2 linked regions of the Mus musculus genome follow. The protein of the gene in region 1 purifies or fractionates together with the protein of each later gene. This does not show direct contact. Links are inferred from orthologs where the notes say so. Each region holds a gene or a part of one and is shown in the gene's direction. Other genes may lie near its edges.

Region 1 (10,228 bases):
TGACAGGAGGTAACTCTAGGAATGGAGCAGAGAATGGGCTGGAATGAGCAGAAACAACATCCAGAGTTCACATAAAAGAAGATGAGCCATCCTAAGATGCAGTGAAGTATCAACTCTGGAATAATTTAGGATATGTAATGAGCTGGATCTGGTGACTTTGAAAGTAGAAGAAGAGAAGGAGCCCTGGATGGTGTCCTACAGCTTCTGGGCACAGGTCCTGGTGATGCCAGCCAGCAGGACTGTCAGCATTAGTTGAGTTAGTTTGAACAGAAAGATGAGTTTCTGCATCACACCCATAGGGATTCTGTCTACGTTACTCTAGGAGTTGGTATCACAGACCCTTTAAAGCAGACCCTTCATGAACCTGTAATATGAATTTCTGAAAACACAAATCAAAACTCATAAAAAATTGCATATGGTTAGGAGGGGGATGCTCATGGCATTCCCATGGATGATATCTATAGATCTTTAGGTGGAGAATTTCTGAGGTATGAGCCAAGTATGCTTAGTGGTAAAGGCACTTGTCATTAAGCCTGGGGAGATGAGTCTGAGAGAGAATCAACTCCCACAAGTTGTTCTCTGATCTTTCACATGTGCGAGTGCACACACACACACACACACACACACACACACACACATGCACACAAATAAATAAACAAAAGTAATAAAAAAAGAAAGGAAAACAAATGAAAGAATTTCTGGGATAGCCTCTGCCATCCATGCTGGGATATATCATGGTTGGTAGAGGGCCTGCCAAGCAGGCACCAGGCTCTGGGGTTTGTCCCCAGGAGAACAGGCACCAGGCTCTGGGGCTCGTCCCCAGGACTGTGTAAACCACAGTGTCTGTGATCTTAACAGTCTAGGAGATAGGGGTAGAAGGAGAAATCTCAGAAGTCTCCATAGTAATCACATAACACAAGTATGAAGTTGCCAAAGACTTAATTAAATTTTAAAAAGAAAGTTAAAGAACAGCCTCAGCTATAAGCACGTCCCAGGCCTGCCTGTGATATATGGGACCCTGTTTTAGAAAAGAGGAGGGACTGTGGAGGGTCAAATCGAGCTGTAGACTTAGGGCATGTAAGTATGGACTGGGGTTGGGTCACAGAGACAGAGTTACTTCCATTATGCTTGATGATAACATATGCAGTTTCCAGAATCATCATCTGTCCATCTTTCCTCTTTATTCATAATAACACCAATGCTAGGCACTATTTATTTATTTAGCATTAAGTACGTTACCACTGAGCTATATCTTGGGCCCTGTAGGCACTTCTTAACGAAAAAGCTACTGTGCTCCACACTTGAAATCCAAAGGATAGTCTATTGTGCCCTCAAAGAGTGTACAGGCTAACTAGAGAATACACAAAAGAACACATAGGTGGCCAGAGTACAATATGCATTATAAGAGATATTTGTACAGTAGATGTTAAGTGAAGGATGGGGACAGAACTGAATTATGCCTAGGATTTACCATCAGGGCGGGTAGGGAAAATTCTTAGAGAGGACAAGCAGGCTTTGTTTTGAAGGAATAATTGGGTTTAGCCTGGCTGTGCTCCAGTGTAGTAAATAGCATAGAGTGTGTGTTTGGGGACACAAAAGCCCTTCAGAATGACTTGAATGTAAAGTACGAGACATGGAGGAAGGCTGTGGGTAGAAATGAGATTGGGCAGCTAAGCATGGAGAAGACAGCGATTCCCAGGACAGATACCTGGTGGCTCAGCTTGTCGGCTTGAACACAGTGGTGAACTGTGGGATCACATGACCATCGAAGAGCCCAAAAAAAAGATAGAAAGAAGGAATAATCCACTAGACTAATTGAACAAGAACAACCAGTTCGTGAAAGACGGTTAGATTCAGGATCTTACCAGGTGTTTTAGGACTGATGTAACTCAGTTTTGCTGGGCTTGCCTAGCATTCGTCAACCCACAGAGCCAGTCTCTAAGCGTGTAAGGGTCCAGGGGGAGGTATCTTAAGGGGTAGCCCACAAACCCAGTCTCCATGTGGGTAAGGGTCCAGGGGAAGGTATCTTAAGGGGTAACTCACAGAGCCAGTCTCCAAGTAGGTAAGGGTCCAGGAGAAGAGGAATCTTAAGGGGTTTGGACTTTCTACTGAGGATAGTGGAGAACCACTCACTTGGATTTCTAACTATGGACTAGTGGTTATGATTATCTAAGATCTGTAGTGATGGTGGCCCAGAAAATGGTAACAGTCGGAGGTAGAAAGAAGAAATGGGCAGAGAGATATGAGGCTAGAAGTAAAGAGATGAAACAGATTAAAGCAGGGACAAAGGGTAAGACTCATGGATGTCATTAGTTACAAAAAGCAACTGTAAATAAAACACCTTCTACTGACTTACAAACAGATTATCTTTATGTCAAATTCAAACTTAAGTAAGGTATGTATTAAAAATATGTAGCGATCTTCATTTTTCCTTTAAAGAAATTTATCATTATTAATTATTATCATTACTATTATTATTCTACCTACTTCATGTGTAGGGCGTTGTGCTTGTACATATGTCTGTGTACCACAGGAATGCAGTGCTTGATGAAGCCAGAATAAGCCTATGAGATTTCCCCCTGGAGCTGGATTTAAAAGCTCTTATGAGCTACTATGTACTCATAACTGCTGAGCCATCTCTTCAGCACCATGATCTTCATTTTAAAAAGCCAATTATTTCTGCGTACCTGCAATATATTTGGGTAGGAGCCCTATGTTAGGCATTGTCTTAGTCTGCTTTGTATTACTATGATATAACACCACCCAAAGCCAGTTTAGGGTTTATTTCAACTCTCAATCCATCACAGGAACTCAAAACAGGAACCTGAAAGCAGGAACTGTTGCAGAGGTAAAGGAGAATTCCTACTTACTGGCCTATTCATCCTGGCTTGTTCAGTTTGCTTTCTTATATTCCCTGGGACCACCTGCCCAGGAATGACACTTTTCACAGTGTACTGGGTCCTTCCATTAATTAATTCCATCAATTATCAATCAACCAAGAAAATGTCCCATAAGCTTGCCTACAGGGTAATTTGATGGGGGATTTTTAAAAACTAAAGTTCCCTTTCAGACGACTCTAACTTGCATGAAGTTTTGCCAAACAAAACAAAACAAACCCACATAAAACAAAGCAAAACAGATAAAAAACCTAACCAACACAAGCATCTTCTTCAGTCTTTCATCCTCTTATTTTTTGTAGTGGGGTCTCAGTGAGTCCAGAGCTCTCCTTTTCTGCTAGAATGGCTGGCCAGGGTGAGCCAATGGTGAGCCAAGGGTTCTGCTTGCCCTCTATCCCCCTCTCTCACCTTAGTACTGGAATTTGAGAAATAAGTCTGCCCCTGGTTTTAGTTTATTTTACAATCTTTGATATAGTTGAGATTTTTCTTTTGGCAATCTTGGAGCTACATTTCTGTGGTTGCTGTAAATTACTTCCTTTCTTGGTTTTCCTTCCTCTTTTTTAGTTTCCCTAATTTTACTTACTGTCTTACGAATTTGAAATGTGTTCAGTGGAAGGTAGCTTTTTCATCAAGTCATTTGGGTCGTCTCTGAATGCCTGACCCTTCCCTTACCATTTTTTTGTGGTGATATGGATTGAACCCAGGGCCTCACATGCTAGGCAAGTATTCTACCGTGGACTTAGTTATAGCCCATCTCTCTCTGAAACAGGATATTACTAACTGACCATGCTGGTCTTGAACATGCAGCTTCCCGAGTAGCTAGAATTACAAGCACGAGGCACCAGGTCCAGTTTGAATTCCTGAAACCTGTCTTCTCTGGGAATCTTCTAGACAGAGCCCAGTGGTCAGAGTACAATATGAGGAGTTGTTTCTCTCCTTGAAACATGCTGGGCTTCAGGATGGGCTGCAAGAACCCTCACTGGCTGAACTATCTTGCCAGCCCCTTATTTTGTTTTCATATTAACCTCTTTTTTCTAGTAAAGGAGATGTTTGCTCTCAAATTTGCATAGGAATGTAATATTTAATTTAAAAAGATGACCCACATATGACCTTATAAGGACAGTAAAATTAAACAACCGGAAAGATAAAGCGGGCCAGTTGGCTCAGTTCTATAAAACCAGCCCACAAGGATTGTCACTATTCTTAGGCTTGCGCGGGCTACATGATGAGTTCCAGGACTGCCTGGTTACAGACCGAGACTCTCTCAAGAGTCCAGATAAACAACAACAAAGGGGGCGAGGTGGAAATACAGGGGCTGTAAGAAGTAAATATGATATCTGCATGGGAGGCTAGCCAGAGAAGAAAAAATTTTCTTCCGTGGTTCAATCCTCCAAGGGCTGAACAGGAAGTTGACGCAGGCAGGTGAGGAGCACGAGCCTAGATGGGCTGCGGTGCCACCCTTAATCCCCACAAGCGAGTTCCTCCGCAATTCGCCTGTCCCACTCTCAACTTTTCTTCAACTGACTCTTTGCTGTGGTCCCTCGCTGTGGCAGTGGAAACAACTACCACTGCGAGGTAGGGAATGTCATGAGGGGCTACCTGCAGCCCTTGGCTTGCAGGGATGCAGGGATGCGGTCGGAACCTGAGGCCCCGCCCTTCTCTTGCCCCACGCCATTAGGCCACGCCCCTACCCAGCACTCCTTCAACCACCCCCTTCCCCGGCGCCTCATGAGGTCCCGCCCCTCTCAACCCTAGCTCTTGAGGCCTCCCCTTCACAGCCGCCCCGGCGTTCCTTGACTTGAGGCCACGTCCCTCTGCTCCTTCATTCCCAAGACCCTACGCTTTGCGAGTCCTCCCTGTCCTGCTGCCTAGGACCCCGCCCCTCTCAGCCCTTCTGCCCCAAGACCCCGCCCCTTAGGCTGTTCCCGCCCACTGGCCAATGAAGACCCGCCCTTTCTTTAGCCGCCCCGCCCCGGTCCCACAAAATCCCGCCTCCGGCCCCGCCTCCCGCCCCCTTGGGCGCTCCGTAGCAGTGACGTGCGCAGGCTGGGCACTCTGCAGGGCTCTCTGGCCGGCGGGTGGAGACCGATCCGGGATCTGTCCCAGCAGGAAGCGTATCCCGGCCGCCGTCGTGCTGTCGTCTCCGGTGCTCGCTCTCGGCCGCGGTGTCGCGCTTGCCCTTCGCGCCCGCAGCCCGGCAGCCTCTCCACGGCCGCGACCCCTCGCGCACCTGCCTCGCCGGGTGAGTGTGGGCGCCTGCCCGCCTGCCTGTCCTCACCGCCTTGGCCTCTGCTCTGCCCGGCGCGGACTGGAGCTCTGGCTTCCCCTTCCCGGGCCAGCGGGGCTCCTGTCACCTGACGAGTCCCACCCGACACTGCAAGATAGTTTTATTTTCTCCTTTCGAAACACAGTGAAAAAGCTACACAGTCTAGTTTGTTGTCAGAGTAAAGATCAATTGATACCATTAATAATTTAGCTGTGTCGAAGAAGACCATGGTAGCATACTATAAAGCTGGAATTTTAGTTCCTAAGCGTTCTAGTATTTTGAGTGTGAGTTTTACGGATGTGTTGCTGAAAATAACTTTGTTATTTAATTCCAAATCGTCTTAAACTAATTAAAACGTGCTAGCTGTGGATTGTATTTTAAAATAGGAAATAATTTGATAAGGCCATTCTTAGATAATCTATGTCAGGAACTTTTACACAAAGATACATTTTATCCGGCATAAAGTATGTAGGGCAGAGCTGTTTAAATCCCAATGTGGAGATACTGCTGGAGCGCTACACAAACGCTGCTCCGATTTCATATGTGTTGAATAAAACTTTAGTTTGCTCTCGTGTTACAGTTGCAGGATTTTCGAATATAGTTAGTCAGCTTGAGACTTTTAACAGCCTTTGAGGCTCGGCTGTAACACCATAAAATCTGAGTCTTGAGCTTGGTGGTGGTCATGGTCCAAAGGTTGGCTGCGGAACAGCAGCATTTCTGTACAAATTAACTCGACTTCAAGACATCTTGGCTTGTGGTTTTCCAACTGGGAAATGTTTAGTGAAAAAAAAATTACCTTAGTGCTCTCTAGCATTAATTTTAGAAATGGCCACAAATGCTACAAGGGGGACAGAGGAAGCCCAGAAACAATGTAGTTCTTCAGAACAGCTCATTGACTTTTAAATGTCTGCCCATTTTCTGTGTTTGCAGTTGCACAGGAGTAAACAGGCACAGTGATAAATAGAAGTCATTTTAGTCTGATGCTCGTCGGCCTGTAGTGTTTTTATTTCGTGTGTGTGATCTGTTACCCATTTTTTTCCCTCTTCCTTTCAAGTTTTGTATTTGTTTTCAAAAGTTACTTGTAAAAGGCAGGGACAGAATACAACCCTTAAGAAAAGAGTATTGCGATTATACAGTTAAAAAGCCGTGGAGTATAGATTTTACATATGGTCTTTAGTACCTAGACACATGAGCAAGAAAAAGTGAACAACTATGATTTTTCATAGAAGCTACAACATATTAAAAACAAAGATGCAAATTATAGTCCATGGGACTTGTCCGAAAGGGATTTTCCCTTGTTTACACGATCAAATTTTAAAATAACAGTGGCCAGGAAATCGGAGAGAAGCCGAAGGCTCCTCGCTCATCCTGTTGTGACTTTGCCTGGCGTCTGTGGTGGATCACTTATTGTTTAGACAACTGGACTGTATCTGGGTTTTGAAAGGCCTTTAGATGGTTTTAAAGATTTCCACCATGCAAGGTCTGAATAAATCCATAAGAACTCCACATAAAAAACCATTCTCTAGTTTTTAACTTTCTCTTGGTATTCAAAACTCCACTTAGGGTACAGGATTGGGAGTGTAACTCAGTGGGTAAAGACCTTGCCTTGTGTGTGTGTGTGCGCGCGCGTGTGTGTGTGTGTGTGTGTGTGTGTGTGTGTGTGTGTGTGTGAGGCCCTGGGTACTGGAGTTTCATTTATATTATTATATATATTATATTAGAACATCTTATTTAAACATTGCAATTTGAAAAACACATTGCAATTTGAATAAATCTCACACAGTATAATGGTGATTCCCAGAAAGAGATACTTTGTTAACAGTTTATGAGCTGGCGATTTAGTAGTGATGTGACACACAAAAAAAACCCCTAAAGGTTTGATTTACAAAATAATATTCCAGGTTGACAGCCTTTCCTTTTATAGAGGAGAAAACAGAGGCTCAGAGAATGAATACTTGCTTGTAGCTTTGGAGGGGCAAAGTCCAGACTCTGAGTACACATGGAAGTCTCTGACAACAAAGCCTCTCTCCTCCTTTGCCCAGAAGTTGTCTTGATTTCGGTTTACTTGGTGAACTATTGAGAGCCCTTTGTAGGCCTGATCTGGAGATTAGGAGTCGGTACCCTAGGTAAACTGTGATAGGCCATGCATGGAGTCTAGAACGAACTGAGAATTCTGTCTTCTTTCTCAAGGCCTTGAGCAGTGACCCAATGCTTTGGCATCACGTCTGGAGTGGTTCCAGCATGTATTAAGTATTATGTGCTTTTCATTTTGATGGGTTTATAGGAATTAACACTGCAATCTAATCCTGGATTGATTTCATTGTAGCTGAGCAGTATATGATGTTTCTGGTCAGGATGGAACTTTGGTTTTTGTCCTTCAAATGAGCTAGATTGTTGCTCTTTAATACAGTAGCTGTCTTTTAAATGTTATTCAATTAGCTTTAACCTTAGGAGGGAAACATGCTTCAAGATTAAGATATCTAGGCCTGGGAGATGCTTAGCAGGTAAAAACACTTGTCTGGAACCCTGATGACCTTAGTTGGATACCTGGGTCTCAAGGAAACAACTTCTGTGAATTTGTCCTCTGACTACCCCACATAGGCCTTGGCATATAGCTATGAACAAATAGTTGTGCTTTAAGAAATAAAAAATAGTGGTGGTGGCGCACGCCTTTAATCCCAGCCCTTGGGAGGCAGAGGCAGGCTGATTTCTGAGTTCGAGGTCAGCCTGGTCTACAGAGTGAGTTCCAGGGCTATACAGAGAAACCCTGTCTCGAAAAAAAAAAAAAAAAAAAAGATTAAGACATCCGCCTACCTCTACCTCTTGAGTGCCAGAGCTTGCAGCTCTGCCCTTGCGTATGCAGTACAGGGAATGAAACCTGGTTCTGTGCTAGGTAGGCAGTTCATCAGGGGAACTATATCTTTAGCCTAGGACAGTTTGTTTGTTTGTTTGTTTATTGTGTGTATATAACTTGTGTGTGACCACACATGGCATATCTGTGAAAGTCAGAGGACAGTTTTGTGGAGTCAATTTTTGCCAAACTCAGGTCATCCTGTTGGCCTGGCAAGTGATTTTTTGTTTTGTTTTCAATCTGCTGAGCCATCTTGCTACCCCCCCCCCTCCCTGCTTTTTTGGGATAGGGTCTCACTATGTAGTGCAACCCTGACTGGTCCAGAACTCACAACCTGGCTGTCCTCTAACCCACAGGGTTACATTTACTTCTGTCTCTTGAGTGCTGGAATTAAAGGCATATACTACCACACCCAGCTTATACAGTGTGTTTTAATCAAAATGGTTCATGGCTTCTCAAAGAAAATTTACTTTATTAATTATTTACTTGTGTGTGTGTGTGTGCACATATGCATGTGTGCACATAAATATGAATGCCTGAAGAGGCCAGAAAAGGGTACCACACCCCATTTATCTTGAGCTATGGTTGGTTGTGAGCTGCTTGACTTGGGTGCTGGGAACCAAACTTGGGTCTTCTAGAAGAACAAGTGCTCTTAACCTGTGAGCTATCTCTCTAGCTCTCTCCTCTCTAGTGCTCTCTCTCTCTCTCTCTCTCTGTATATATATATATATATATGTGTGTGTGTGTGTGTGTGTGTGTGTGTGTGTGTGTATAAACTCAAGCTTCATGAGTATCCCTGAGCTGTAATTCACCTAATGGAATGAAATGGCAGAGCCCTTTTGGATAGATGTGTAGAAAAACACAGGGAAGGCTGAGCAGGGCCCACCTGGATAGGGATTTTTCTTATTGGAACTGCTAAGAGTTTGTATCCAAGGCTATTCATATTCTAATGTAAGTGAATAAAAAACCATCCAATGACTTAAATATGAATCATTAGCATTTGACTGTAACATGCTTTGTTTTTTCTTTCGGGAAGAGGTGAGAGTACAGATAATTGACAACTGATCCTAGTTAAATGACTTAAAAGTTCTGTTTTTTGAGGCTTTAGGTAATGTTTAGAAGTACCGAGATTTTTTGTGTTTACAGTAATATGCTTTTATTTGTTAGTTTTTTTTTAGTGGGCTGATGACCTTAAAGCATAAATATTAGTAAGCAATAACATAAAATTTTGAGAAATCACCACAAATCCACCAAAATTTTCTTTGTGAGTACTGAAGCCTAGGAAATAAAACCCAAAGCACAGCTGGGCGGTGGTGGCGCACACCTTTAATCCCAGCACTCGGGAGGCAGAGGCAGGCGGGTTTCTGAGTTCAAGGCCAGCCTGGTCTACAGAGTGAGTTCCAGGACAGCCAGGGCTACACAGAGAAACCCTGTCTCGAAAACAAACAACAACAACAAACCCCAAAGAATCCAACAACAAACAAAACAAAACAGAAACCCAAAGCGCAACTCTGGCATGTTTAGAAGTCTCGCTGGTGTTAAAAAGAGAGGAGATAATTGGCTGTGCAGAAGGCATGCGTCTGGTGAAACCAAAACACCGAAGCACATTCCTTCAGTGTATATTCATGCAGGGCGAACACGAGCACTCATGCTGACTAATGTGACCAGGGAAGCTCCCGGCAAAAACACAGGCATCTTTTGTGTGTGTGTGTTACATCACTTGTTATTGTGTTTGAAAGTACCCAGTGGTTGGAGAGATGGTTCATCAGTTAAGGGCACTTGTTCTTCCGGAAGACCAGAATTCCACTACCAGCATCCTTGTTGGGTGGCTTACGACCACCTGCAAATTCATCTCCAGGGGATTTAGTGTCTTCTAACCATTGCAGATATCCATACATGCCTAGCATGTACTCACACAGACACATACAAATAAATAAAAATATACATTTTTATTTTTAAATCAGCTGATTAACCCTTACCAGGTGAGCTCTTTGGTGTGGCAGAGTTTTTGTTATAATGGGGCTCTTTGGATCTGGGGATTAGCCGAGATTGTCAGGTATATAGGAAGATGGTTTGAAATGGAACATGTAAAATCTACACTGAGGTTCAGAGGCATGGGATTCAGTGGTATAGTCTTGTAGTTCAAGTACACGGGAGCCTGATGAAGCACAAAGATTGAACTCAGGCCATTGCAGCTAATTTGGGAAATAAGAC
Region 2 (10,128 bases), on another chromosome or scaffold:
GTACTATTCTGTTTACTTTGTTCCTATTTGGGATTTTCTTCTTTAAAAGTTCAGAGAATGCTCACTTAGCTCAAATATTTATGTGGCCAAGTGTCATGAGCGTGTTGGTTAATAAAATTATAACTGGTTAATTTCAAATGCTACTTTGAAAAATATAAAACCTCATAGTAACATGTAACACTTATTTTGGACAGCCATGAAGAACTGTACTCAGGCCGTCCTTACGGAGCCCTGGATTCAGGCTTCAATAGTGTGGATAGTGGTGATAAGAGATGGTCAGGGAATGAGGTAAGTGTTCTGTTCATGTGTTAAAAATCCTGATTTTGAAAAATAAATTAAATTAAGGGGAATATCTAAATTGGAATTCAATTTATTAGGTAAAATAGAGAAATGTCAAAGAGCAAAAACCCTACATAGTCCTACCACCTGGGAATTCTACACTGTTTCTTTTAAAAGCACCTTTTGCCATGTATCCTCTTTCAGATTTGTTACCCAGTCTTATGCACAGATATTCTGGAAAGCTGAGTAGGAAGTGAGGTGGTTAAAGCTGAAGCCTAGTGGCTGTGGTAACACATTTCTATAACCCTAGCTAGCTCTCAGGAGGCTGAGGCAGGAGGACCATGGTTTGAAGATAGCCTGGCCTATGCAGTAAGTTCCAGAACAGCTTGCACTGCATAGCAACTGTCTCAACCCCATGAGAAGCCCTGACATCCATGTGAGGGCCAGGGTGGTCTGCGGCGGAGATGGTGATAGAATGGGTGTGCTGGAGGCTGGGAAAGTGCGCAGGACTGGACACTGATGGGTGAGGAAGGGGAACCTGAGCTTTAAGTGACAGCTCAAAAGTGGAGTCCTCTCCAGCAGGCACTGGCTGGAGCCCCACAGAAGGTGGCACAGCTCAGTGAGTTCATTCACATGCCACAAATTGCATGGGTTCTTGTTTTGATTAATTAATTCTATTAGAGTTTCCAATGAAATCCATTGCTTTGTAAAATTACTAGGATATATTTTAACTACCAATTAAAGGACTACACGTTTGCTAGAGGTGCTGATAACAGCCATTTTATAACACTGTGTCATTGAGATTCCAGACAGAAGCCTGGTGAGTAGCACAGTGCCTTGAATGCCTTCAATCTCAGTGTCAGGAGGCAGTGGCAGGTGGATCTCTGTGAGTTCAAGGCTAACCAGGACTATATAAGTCCAGGCCAACCAGAGCTACATAGTGAGACCCTGTCAAACCTAAATAAGTAAATAAATTAAATAAATAGTAAGTCAAAACAAAATTAGATCAAAACTTGAAATTTGTAGTTAGCTATATATGTATGTATGCATGTATGTATGTATGTGTCTTAGTCAGAGTTTCTATGCCTGCACAAACATCATGACCAAGAAGCAAGTTGGGGAGGAAAGGGTTTATTCAGCTTCCACTTCCACATTGCTGTTGATCACCAAGGAAGTCAGGACTGGAACTCAAGCAGGTCAGGAAGCAGGAGCTGATGCAGAGGCCATGGAGGGATGTTCTTTACTGGCTTGCCTCCCCTGGCTTGCTCAGCCTGCTCTCTTATGGAACCCAAGACTGCCAGCCCAGAGATGGTCCCACCCACAAGGGGCCTTTCCTCCTTGATCACTAACTGAGAAAATGCCTTACAGTTGGATCTCATGGAGGCATTTCTTCAACTGAAGCTCCTTTCTCTATGATAACTCCAGCTGTGAAAAGTTGACATAAAACTAGCCAGTATAGTATGTATTGGTGACTATCTTTTTGAATATTGCAATGTGTGTATATATACATAGATATTTTAAACCTATGTATATATTTGCTTACAGTTCTGAATATCCTTCTATTTTTGTTAATTGTGGTAAGGTTTGCCTATTTAAAGTACATATTTCAGTTGCATTAATTGTGTTCATAGAATTATACAATATTCTCTATTAATTTCTAAAACTTTTGCTTTTTCTTCTCCTATGTAGATTACAGTTTATATTCCTGTACTGTATGTTATCTAAAATTGGAAATGATGGTTTTTAATGTTTCTGCTTTTTAAGCCTACAGATGAATTTTCGGATCTGCCTCTTCGAGTGGCAGAGATTACCAAAGAGCAAAGACTGCGGAGAGAAAGCCAGTACCAGGAGAATCGCAGCAGTGTGGCGGTCACAAATGGTGGAGGTACACACGATTCTGATGACATTTAAAGCCTTCATGTGTGCCTTGTTATATAACAGGCTCTCCCTATAACCCTGGCTGCCCTCAAACCCCTTATGTAGCCAAGGATGGCCAGTCTTCTCCCAGCCCTGGGGGTACAGTTGTATCCCACCACACCTGGTTTTGTGGTGCTGAGAATTGAACCCAGGGCCGTGTGGGCCAGAGACAAGGACTTTACAACACAGCCCAGCTCCCACCTGAACTTTTTTGTTTTGATTTAAGGGAGTTTATTGTGGCTTAGGGTTCTAGAGGGATCCTGTCCCTCCTGATGAGGAGAGCTCGGCAGTAGACCACCATCAGTAGACTGGCAGTAGACTGGAAAGGCATGGCGACAGAAGTAGGAAGTTGCTGGTCTCCTTACCGTTTTTGAAGTGGTCTTTGTCACACCCACTCTTTAGTTTGCTTCTCTGTAGATCCTTCACCCTTCTGAAGACTTCTGTTTATATATGACCAAAAAAAAGTTTACCATTCAGATAAAATTCACTTTCTCTGTATTTTCAATTTATAATTTCTCTTTCATGTTTATTTGAGGGGAAACTTTAGGAAGAATAGATCTTTGTTCATCTTGATCTTACTACAGTCTTCTGAAGTAACATTGTCTCTTTTTAAGATTTTCCATTTTAAAGAGATTTCTTGAGCTCTTTTAGCAATCAATTGTGTTTGCTTGTATTTATTTTTAGCTTTTTGAAATAGTTATCTATTTATTATCAAGGGGTGTGCCACCACAGGTGTGGTGAGGGTAGGGACAACTTGCTCTCTCTTTCCACCTTGCAGGTCACAGGGATCAAATTCAGGTCATCAGGCATGGCAGCAAGTGTTTTTGCCTGCTCAGTCAGTTAGCTAACACTGTTTAAAACTGAGTTTTCACCCCAATATCCAGGCTGACCTCAAACTCCTGGATTCTAGTAACCTTACATCAGCCTCCTGAGCAGCTGGGGCCACAGGTGCCTGCCAGCATGCCCGTCTTCCTGCATAGCGTAGTGTTTCCTGTAGTGTTCTCTGGGGCTTCTGAATCTTATTCTAACACTTAGAACTTAGTAGTTTTAAATTAATAGAGTTCTGTCTGCTTCAATGTACTGCTGAAACAGGTTTTAGAATTGTACTCTATATTCTTTTAATTTGAGTTTTAAAGCCACATGTTGGCATTTTGAGGGCCAGTGCTGAGGGAGAAATTACATAGATTTTGTAGAAATGCATATGTTTTTGGAAGCGCTTCCATTTCTAACGATGTCAGTTACAGTTGTGATTTTGTCCTCTCTGGCTTACGTTCTTCTTTATTCCTTCACTTACATTCCATTCATATTTTAGTAGTTGTATTTTAGGTTTTGTTCTTACGTGAGTTATCTGTAGCACATTTCATTGAAGACTCAGGTCTGTGTCCACTACCCCATGTGGGTACTGAGTAGCTGAGATGCAGCCTCTGGAAGCTGGGGGGATTGCGTCAGTAGATCAAATGCTTGCTGAGATAAAATGGGGGCAGCGTTTTATCCCAAGCATCCTCATAAACGGCAGGCCTGGCAGCACACATCTGCAGTCCTAGCGCTTGGTGGGCAGAGACTGGCAGGTCCCTGATGCTTGCTGGCACCCACTTTAACCAAAGTCTTGAGCTCCGGAGTCCATGAAAAACTTCTGTTTCAAAAAATAAAGTTATGGACAAGTGAGGTGGCTCATTGGGTGAAGATGCTGTAACAGTTTTTCTGACTTGAATTTCATCCCTGAAACTCACATGACGGAAGGAAAAAAGCAGTTGCTGCAGATTCCCCCTGACATCTACACATGTGCCATGGCATACATGCCCCTGCCTCCATAAGAAATGTGACATCTGTTCTGCTGCATAGCATACATGCTCTCATCTCCACGTGTATGTCATGACATATGTGCCCCCTAAATAATAAATATGACCTCCACCTGTATGGCATGCATATGCGCCCCCCTGTAAAAAAATGTAAAAGGGAAAAAAAAAAGATCATTAGCTAAACTAAAACTAAAGTGGCTAACAGTGAAAACACCTGACATCAGCCTCTCCCCTCCACATGGACACACATGCACCTGTCATCACACGCACACTTGCATACATGCACACAGCACAGATAAACCCCACATACAAAGTTTAAAAGATGAAATGTGGCTTTTCTGAACTGAACTATAACTACAAAATCTTCATCAAATTTTGACTGTGCTGATCTGGATAGTATGAAAACCTGATGGTACTTTCTTAAGAAATAGTCTTAATATATAAACTATATTTTAGATGGAAAAATGTTTGATCTTAATAGACTTGTAGCACAAATTTCAAGTTAATAGCTGCAGTTCAGTTCAATTCAGTGTCCTGGCACAGGGGAACAGCATAAAGCAGTGGTTGAGGGTCAGTGCATGCTTGGGAAACGTCTTCACAGCGAGGTCTTTCCTAGAGCTCCATTTTACCTAGCTGTTGAAGTCCTTAGCTTCCGCTTAAGAAGGACGGCTAGCCAGAAGCTTGCCAGATGCAACAATTACATGGCCATATCTTTAGTTGCCTCCCTTTCCTCTACAGTATCTTTTTTAGTGGAATAGACATTTTGTTTAACAAGTTATATATTTTCCAGTCAGTAATTGAGTTTTTTATAAAGAATCTTGAGAAGAGAAAATTCCTCAGATGATTCCCTTTCACTACAAATTGCTTCAGAATATCTAACATACTGACCTCTAGCAAGTAATTTTCTAAATAGGGAAATCTTTGTTCTCTTTTTTTTTTTTAGTTTGAGCCACAGGAAGGGAAACAGTCAATAAGTTTCTTTTTCTCCAACTCCAGTTTCTTCTTCTCCTGGGTCTTTTTTGTTGTCTTCCACTTCCCTTTGAGTTAACTTACATTTTCTGAAACACAAACTCATGAGAAGATGGTACAGCCATCATTCTTCGCACACATGACACAGAGAAGAGCAACCATCTTCTCTGTCTCAGACTCAGGCTATCCTGCTTAAAACACCAGAGCCATCCAGAGAAAATAAATGCCAAGGGTGTATACTTCAGTGGCTTACCCTTACTTACCCTTGTTGTTGTATTCTTTAGTATATTTGGACTAAGGTTTTACAAGAGATGATTTTTGTGATGAGCCATAGACTAAATAATAAAGACATTGAAACATCATTCTTTCTGCATACAGAACAGACACAAGAGAAAGGGAAAATGTAATTTCTTTTAATATTTATCTTATGTATATGAGTACACTGTAGCTGTCTTCAGACACAGCAGCAGAAGAGGGCATCAGGTCCCATTACAGATGGTTGTGAGCCACCACGTGGTTGCTGAGAATTGAACTCAGGTCCTCTGAAAGAGCAGTCAGTGCTCTCAACCACTGAGCCATCTCTCCAGCTCCAGGAGAATGCAATTTAAGCAAATGTTTTTATTAGCTGTTTAATTTTGAATCTCTCTCTCTCTCTCTCTCTCTCTCTCTCTCTCTCTCTCTCTCTGTGTGTGTGTGTGTGTGTGTGTGTGTGTGTGTGTGTGTGTGTGTGTGTGTGCTGTGTACAGTGGAGCATGATCTGGATCAGATTGACTACATTGACAGCTGTACTACAGAAGAAGAAGAAAACGACGTGAAACAACCCAAAAGCCTGGACACGAACAGTCTCAGCTCACAGTTTATGGCATATATTGAACAACGGAGAATCTCACATGAGGTAGCAGTGTACCCTTTTACCCTTTCTAGACTGAGAACAGTTGGTGATGGTAGAGATCCTTGTCCTATCAGTGATTTATTGGTTTGGGCCTAATTGTTTCATTTTTCCCTTATTGTTTTATCCCTGGAGTTTTCAGATTTAATTTGGAAAAGTCAGAGAGTAGTCTCAAAAATGATTCCAGTTTTATTCCTCAGATAAGCGGGCAGATTTCATTCTTTTGAAGAGACAGTGAAAGGAGATCTGAGCGTGACCTCAGGCCTCTGAAGGAAGTACACGGGATAGGATACTTCTCGTTGCTAGGTAGTTTTGCTTTCTGGTTGGTCTTTTTTGCTTAACTCTTTTGCTTTTTTATTATTGCTAATTATAAGCCTTAATATGATAGATAATTAAACCAAAGTTGACTTTTGAGGAAACATTCGACTTACCCATAGAATATTATAAGTTTAATTATGCTGGTGCTTTTATCCTGAGTTAACAGAATATAAACTGTTTGCTATTAAAATTCTTGGTGTCTCTTATAATGAAGCATTGAATTGCCTAAAAAACAAGTAAGCATTCAGGCCACTGTAGAGTCTCTGCCAATTCCTCAAAGGTCTCAAGTAGAATAGCATTCTTCAATCTATCTAGTCAGCATAGTAAAATGGTTTCATTTTAGTGTTGTGTTGATGTCTGGAGTTTGTCCCAGGCCCTGAGCAGGGGTTGTTTGAGAAACACTAGGGGCCTTTTTGGAAAACGATGTATTTAACTTTTAGAAATCAGGGATCAGCTGCTTCAAGTGGAGGGTGGTGTGGAGTAATAGCCTTCCTTAAAAGAAGCCTTTGGTTCCTGTTGAACACAGTGGGGTTTGTTGCAGTTCAGAAGATACTTGTTTCTAAAATCAGATAAAATCAAACCCTGTAGCCAAGAGATAATGATAGACCAATGATTGACAAAACTGCCTTGTGGTTTAAGCTGTCAGTCTCTCTGCTGGAGCCAAGAGTTTCTTTCTAATAAAATTTAGACTAATAATACTGCATAATACTCTTTAGAGAAATCCCTTTTCTTCTTCTGTCCTCTTTTTCTTTCTTTTTTATTAGATACTTTCTTCATTTACATTTCAAATACTATCCCCAAAGTCCCCTATACCCCCCCCTCTTTTTCTTTAATGACTTTAAAATGCTTTAGGTTGTCTAAGTGAGGTGTCTCTGCAGATGCTGCTTACTGCCTCCTGAGACCTGTTGGAGTCACTTCTTCCCTTCACATTGTAGAGGCTCCTTGCAGTGTTTCTAAACTCCTAACTACCTCGTGTGTGTGGTAGCCATGTGGTTCTATGGAATAAGACTCTTGGTATTTTTGTGTCATATATCTTTCAAAAATTGAGTGTTTGTGGAAGTATAGCGAAGGGGTTAGTTTAAGTTAACAACCTGTGAAGTTGACGCTGATGAAGTACCTCAGCAGGTGCAGTTAGGCCTGTAAGTAGATGGTTTCTGAGGATCCTTTTTGTTGGTTTTTTTGAGACAGGGTCTCTCTACAGAGCCCTGGCAGTCCTACAACTCACTCTGTAGACTAGGCTGGCCTCACAGAGATCTGCCTGCCTCTGCCTCCCGAGTGCCCACCACCTCCCCGGTCTCAAAAGTCCTTCTTATTCTGAAAATATCACTCTGCTTAATCACTAATTTATATACTACAGTGAGATGAGAACCTTGTAAGCAAAACACACAGTTATAGATTGTGCATATTCTTATTTATCAAAGCCTAGGTAATACCACTTACAGTTGTGTTTTGTGTGTGTGTGTGTGTGTGTGTGTGTGTGTGTGTGTGTTTACATCAGCACACATACCACAGTGTGTACAACATGGAGGTCTGAAGACAATTTTGTGGAATTGTTTTTTTTCATTCAGCATTTTTTTTTTAGGCTCTGGAGATCAAACTCAGGTTGTGGGGTTTGCACAGAAAGTGCGTTTTTACACATCGGTGTTTACACGCTGGCCCACCTCACCAGCCCTTGTTTTGTTTTGTGTTTTGAGATAAGAGTCTTGCTATGTCACTCAGGCTGTGCTCAAACACGTCATTCTTTGCCTCAGCTTCCTGAGCCTGAGTTACAGCCACCATCACACCTGCTAGCCTGGGTGCTCTGAAACACTAAGCTCACAGAGGAAAAGCCTACCAAAGTCATTTTTAATGTATAATTTCCTAAATGTTAAACTAGTTGAATATGTAATTGCTGCATTTTAATATATTATGCATGTTAATTACTGACTACTTTTTCTTTTCTTTTTCTTTCTTTTTTTTGGGGGGGTCTAGGTTTCACCAGTAAAGCCAATAGCCGTTAGAGAGTTTCAAAAAACAGAAGACATGAAAAGATACTCACATCAAAACAGGTTTGAAAAAGCAATTCAGCTTAATTCTTTCTTTCTTCAAACTTAGTAATAAGTGAATTGATTTTATTTTGTGCAAATCCAAATATAATGAAGATATTTGGCTTATGTGAACCTTAAAGGCTATTTTAAACTAGATCAGTCTGCCTTTGTTCTAACACCATCTTTAAAAAGAGTGAAATTACTTGGTTCCAAATCCAGTGTTTATTCAAGCATAGAAAATGGAAAGATTTTCAGAAACCCTGTATTTACTTCTTCCTTCTACATAGACAGTCTTTCCACCATGCTTAAGGTCTCCCTTCCTCTAAACCAGCTCAATGCTGTTTTCATTGTAGAATTCCAAAATGATTCTGCTATAAACTGCATCACAGTAGTTAATTTTTTTGTCTTTGATCTTTGTGAATGAAATCTTTAAAAAAAAATTAGTAGATTTGATATATCTGGGGTTTTTTTGTTTATTTGTTTTTTAAGTCATGGTTCCTCTATGTAGCCCTGGCTGTCTTGAAACTCACTGTGTAGACCAGGCTGGCCTTGAACTCAGAGATATGTCTGTTCTTAAATCATAGGAAATTTACTATGTAGCATCTATCATTCATCCATAGGTCTTTATACCAAATAGCATGCTAATGTTGTCCCAGGAACTATGAATGAAGTAGCTGGAATAAAGAAAATGTACTTATGGGGCTAGAGTTGGCTCAACAGTTAAGAGCACTGACTGCTCTTCCAGAGATCCTAAGTTCAATTCCCAGCAACCACACGGTGGCTCACAACCATCTGTAATGAGATCTGATTCCCCCTTCTGGGGTGTCTGAAGATAGCTACAGTGTACTTAAATAAAATAAATCTTTAAAAAAAAACATAGTGAAAACATATTTTTAAAAAAGGTAAAAAGAAAAATGTAGTTGTATAGATACTGTAAGTGTTACAGCTCTAAGGGGAAAGGTATCCTGATAGTTGAGAGCCAAGGAATACCAAAGTCATACCTTACAACAAAACTCGCACACAGATTTATAGGAGAGAGGGTGCCTTCCTCTGCTTGGGAGAGAAGCAGCAAAAAATCTGGGCAGGAGGCAGGCTTTATTTAGGGTTCCTTGGCAGCAGAGCTTTCTAGGGTACCCTGGGATTGGGGGCATTTTATGGCTTGATCTTGGGCTTTTTTTTTTTTTTTCTGTAGGGCAGGGTCTGGCCACACACCTGCCTTGAAGGACTGAAAGGGTCATTATGGCCGTTGGAGAAGACTGAGAGCCAATGCCCCAGAATCAGTCATCATAATACAAAAACTTTAAAGGCATAAAGTAGACCAATGTTCCTCAACAAGATTCAGCTCCCCTCCTTCGAGGCTGTTTGAAAATGTATCAATTCCTTATGGGAATCAGTTCCCAGCATCACTATAGGTGCTAGAGGCTGGCCACCTCTGCCATGAGAGACACTCTTAAAGAATGCCTTACGTGAATGTGGGTGATGCTGTTGCTGAGAGGCAGCCCTAAGTCAAAAGCTCATGGGCATGAAGGAGGGACAGGGCTGCGGTGGCCCACGAGCACCACGCGGTCACCTACACTGGCTCTCACACACACCGTGCTTCCTTCCTTCAGTCTCCATCCTTAACTTCTCACAGCTCAGTTGTTGACATCGCAGGTGCGTGCTTCATCGGGGTGTGTGCTGCTCCCCTTCTAGCCCCAGAGTACCTCCCCTCTCTGCGTGTCTGCTGAGTGGCCATGACAGAGTAGGAAGAGCTCCAACTGCTCACCAGGAAAGTGGGTTCTAGTGCAGGCTCAGCACGTGCAGCTACCATCCAGACGCAAAGGGCTCATTTTTCGAAGTTGTAAAAGTAGTGGCTTATGCCAAGCGTGGTGGCACACTCCTTTAATCCCAGCACTTGGGAGACAGAGGCAGGCGGATTTCTGAGTTCGAG

The links. The genes of interacting proteins can lie anywhere in the genome.
Region 2: the proteins of Myo6 (region 1) and Lrch3 purify together in Homo sapiens (co-immunoprecipitation; 3 studies listed by BioGRID and IntAct, with this or other methods). This does not show direct contact. The link is inferred for Mus musculus from reciprocal best matches to the Homo sapiens genes MYO6 and LRCH3.

The regions. Positions count from the first base shown.
Region 1 is NC_000075.6:80,160,091-80,170,318, forward strand, and holds the start of Myo6 (unconventional myosin-VI), read left to right. Parts: upstream 1-4,943; 5' UTR 4,944-5,139; intron 5,140-10,228. UniProt on the Homo sapiens protein: Myosins are actin-based motor molecules with ATPase activity. Unconventional myosins serve in intracellular movements. Myosin 6 is a reverse-direction motor protein that moves towards the minus-end of actin filaments.
Region 2 is NC_000082.6:32,973,686-32,983,813, forward strand, and holds part of Lrch3 (DISP complex protein LRCH3), read left to right. Parts: intron 1-194; coding exon 195-288; intron 289-2,043; coding exon 2,044-2,164; intron 2,165-5,710; coding exon 5,711-5,859; intron 5,860-8,142; coding exon 8,143-8,219; intron 8,220-10,128. UniProt on the Homo sapiens protein: As part of the DISP complex, may regulate the association of septins with actin and thereby regulate the actin cytoskeleton.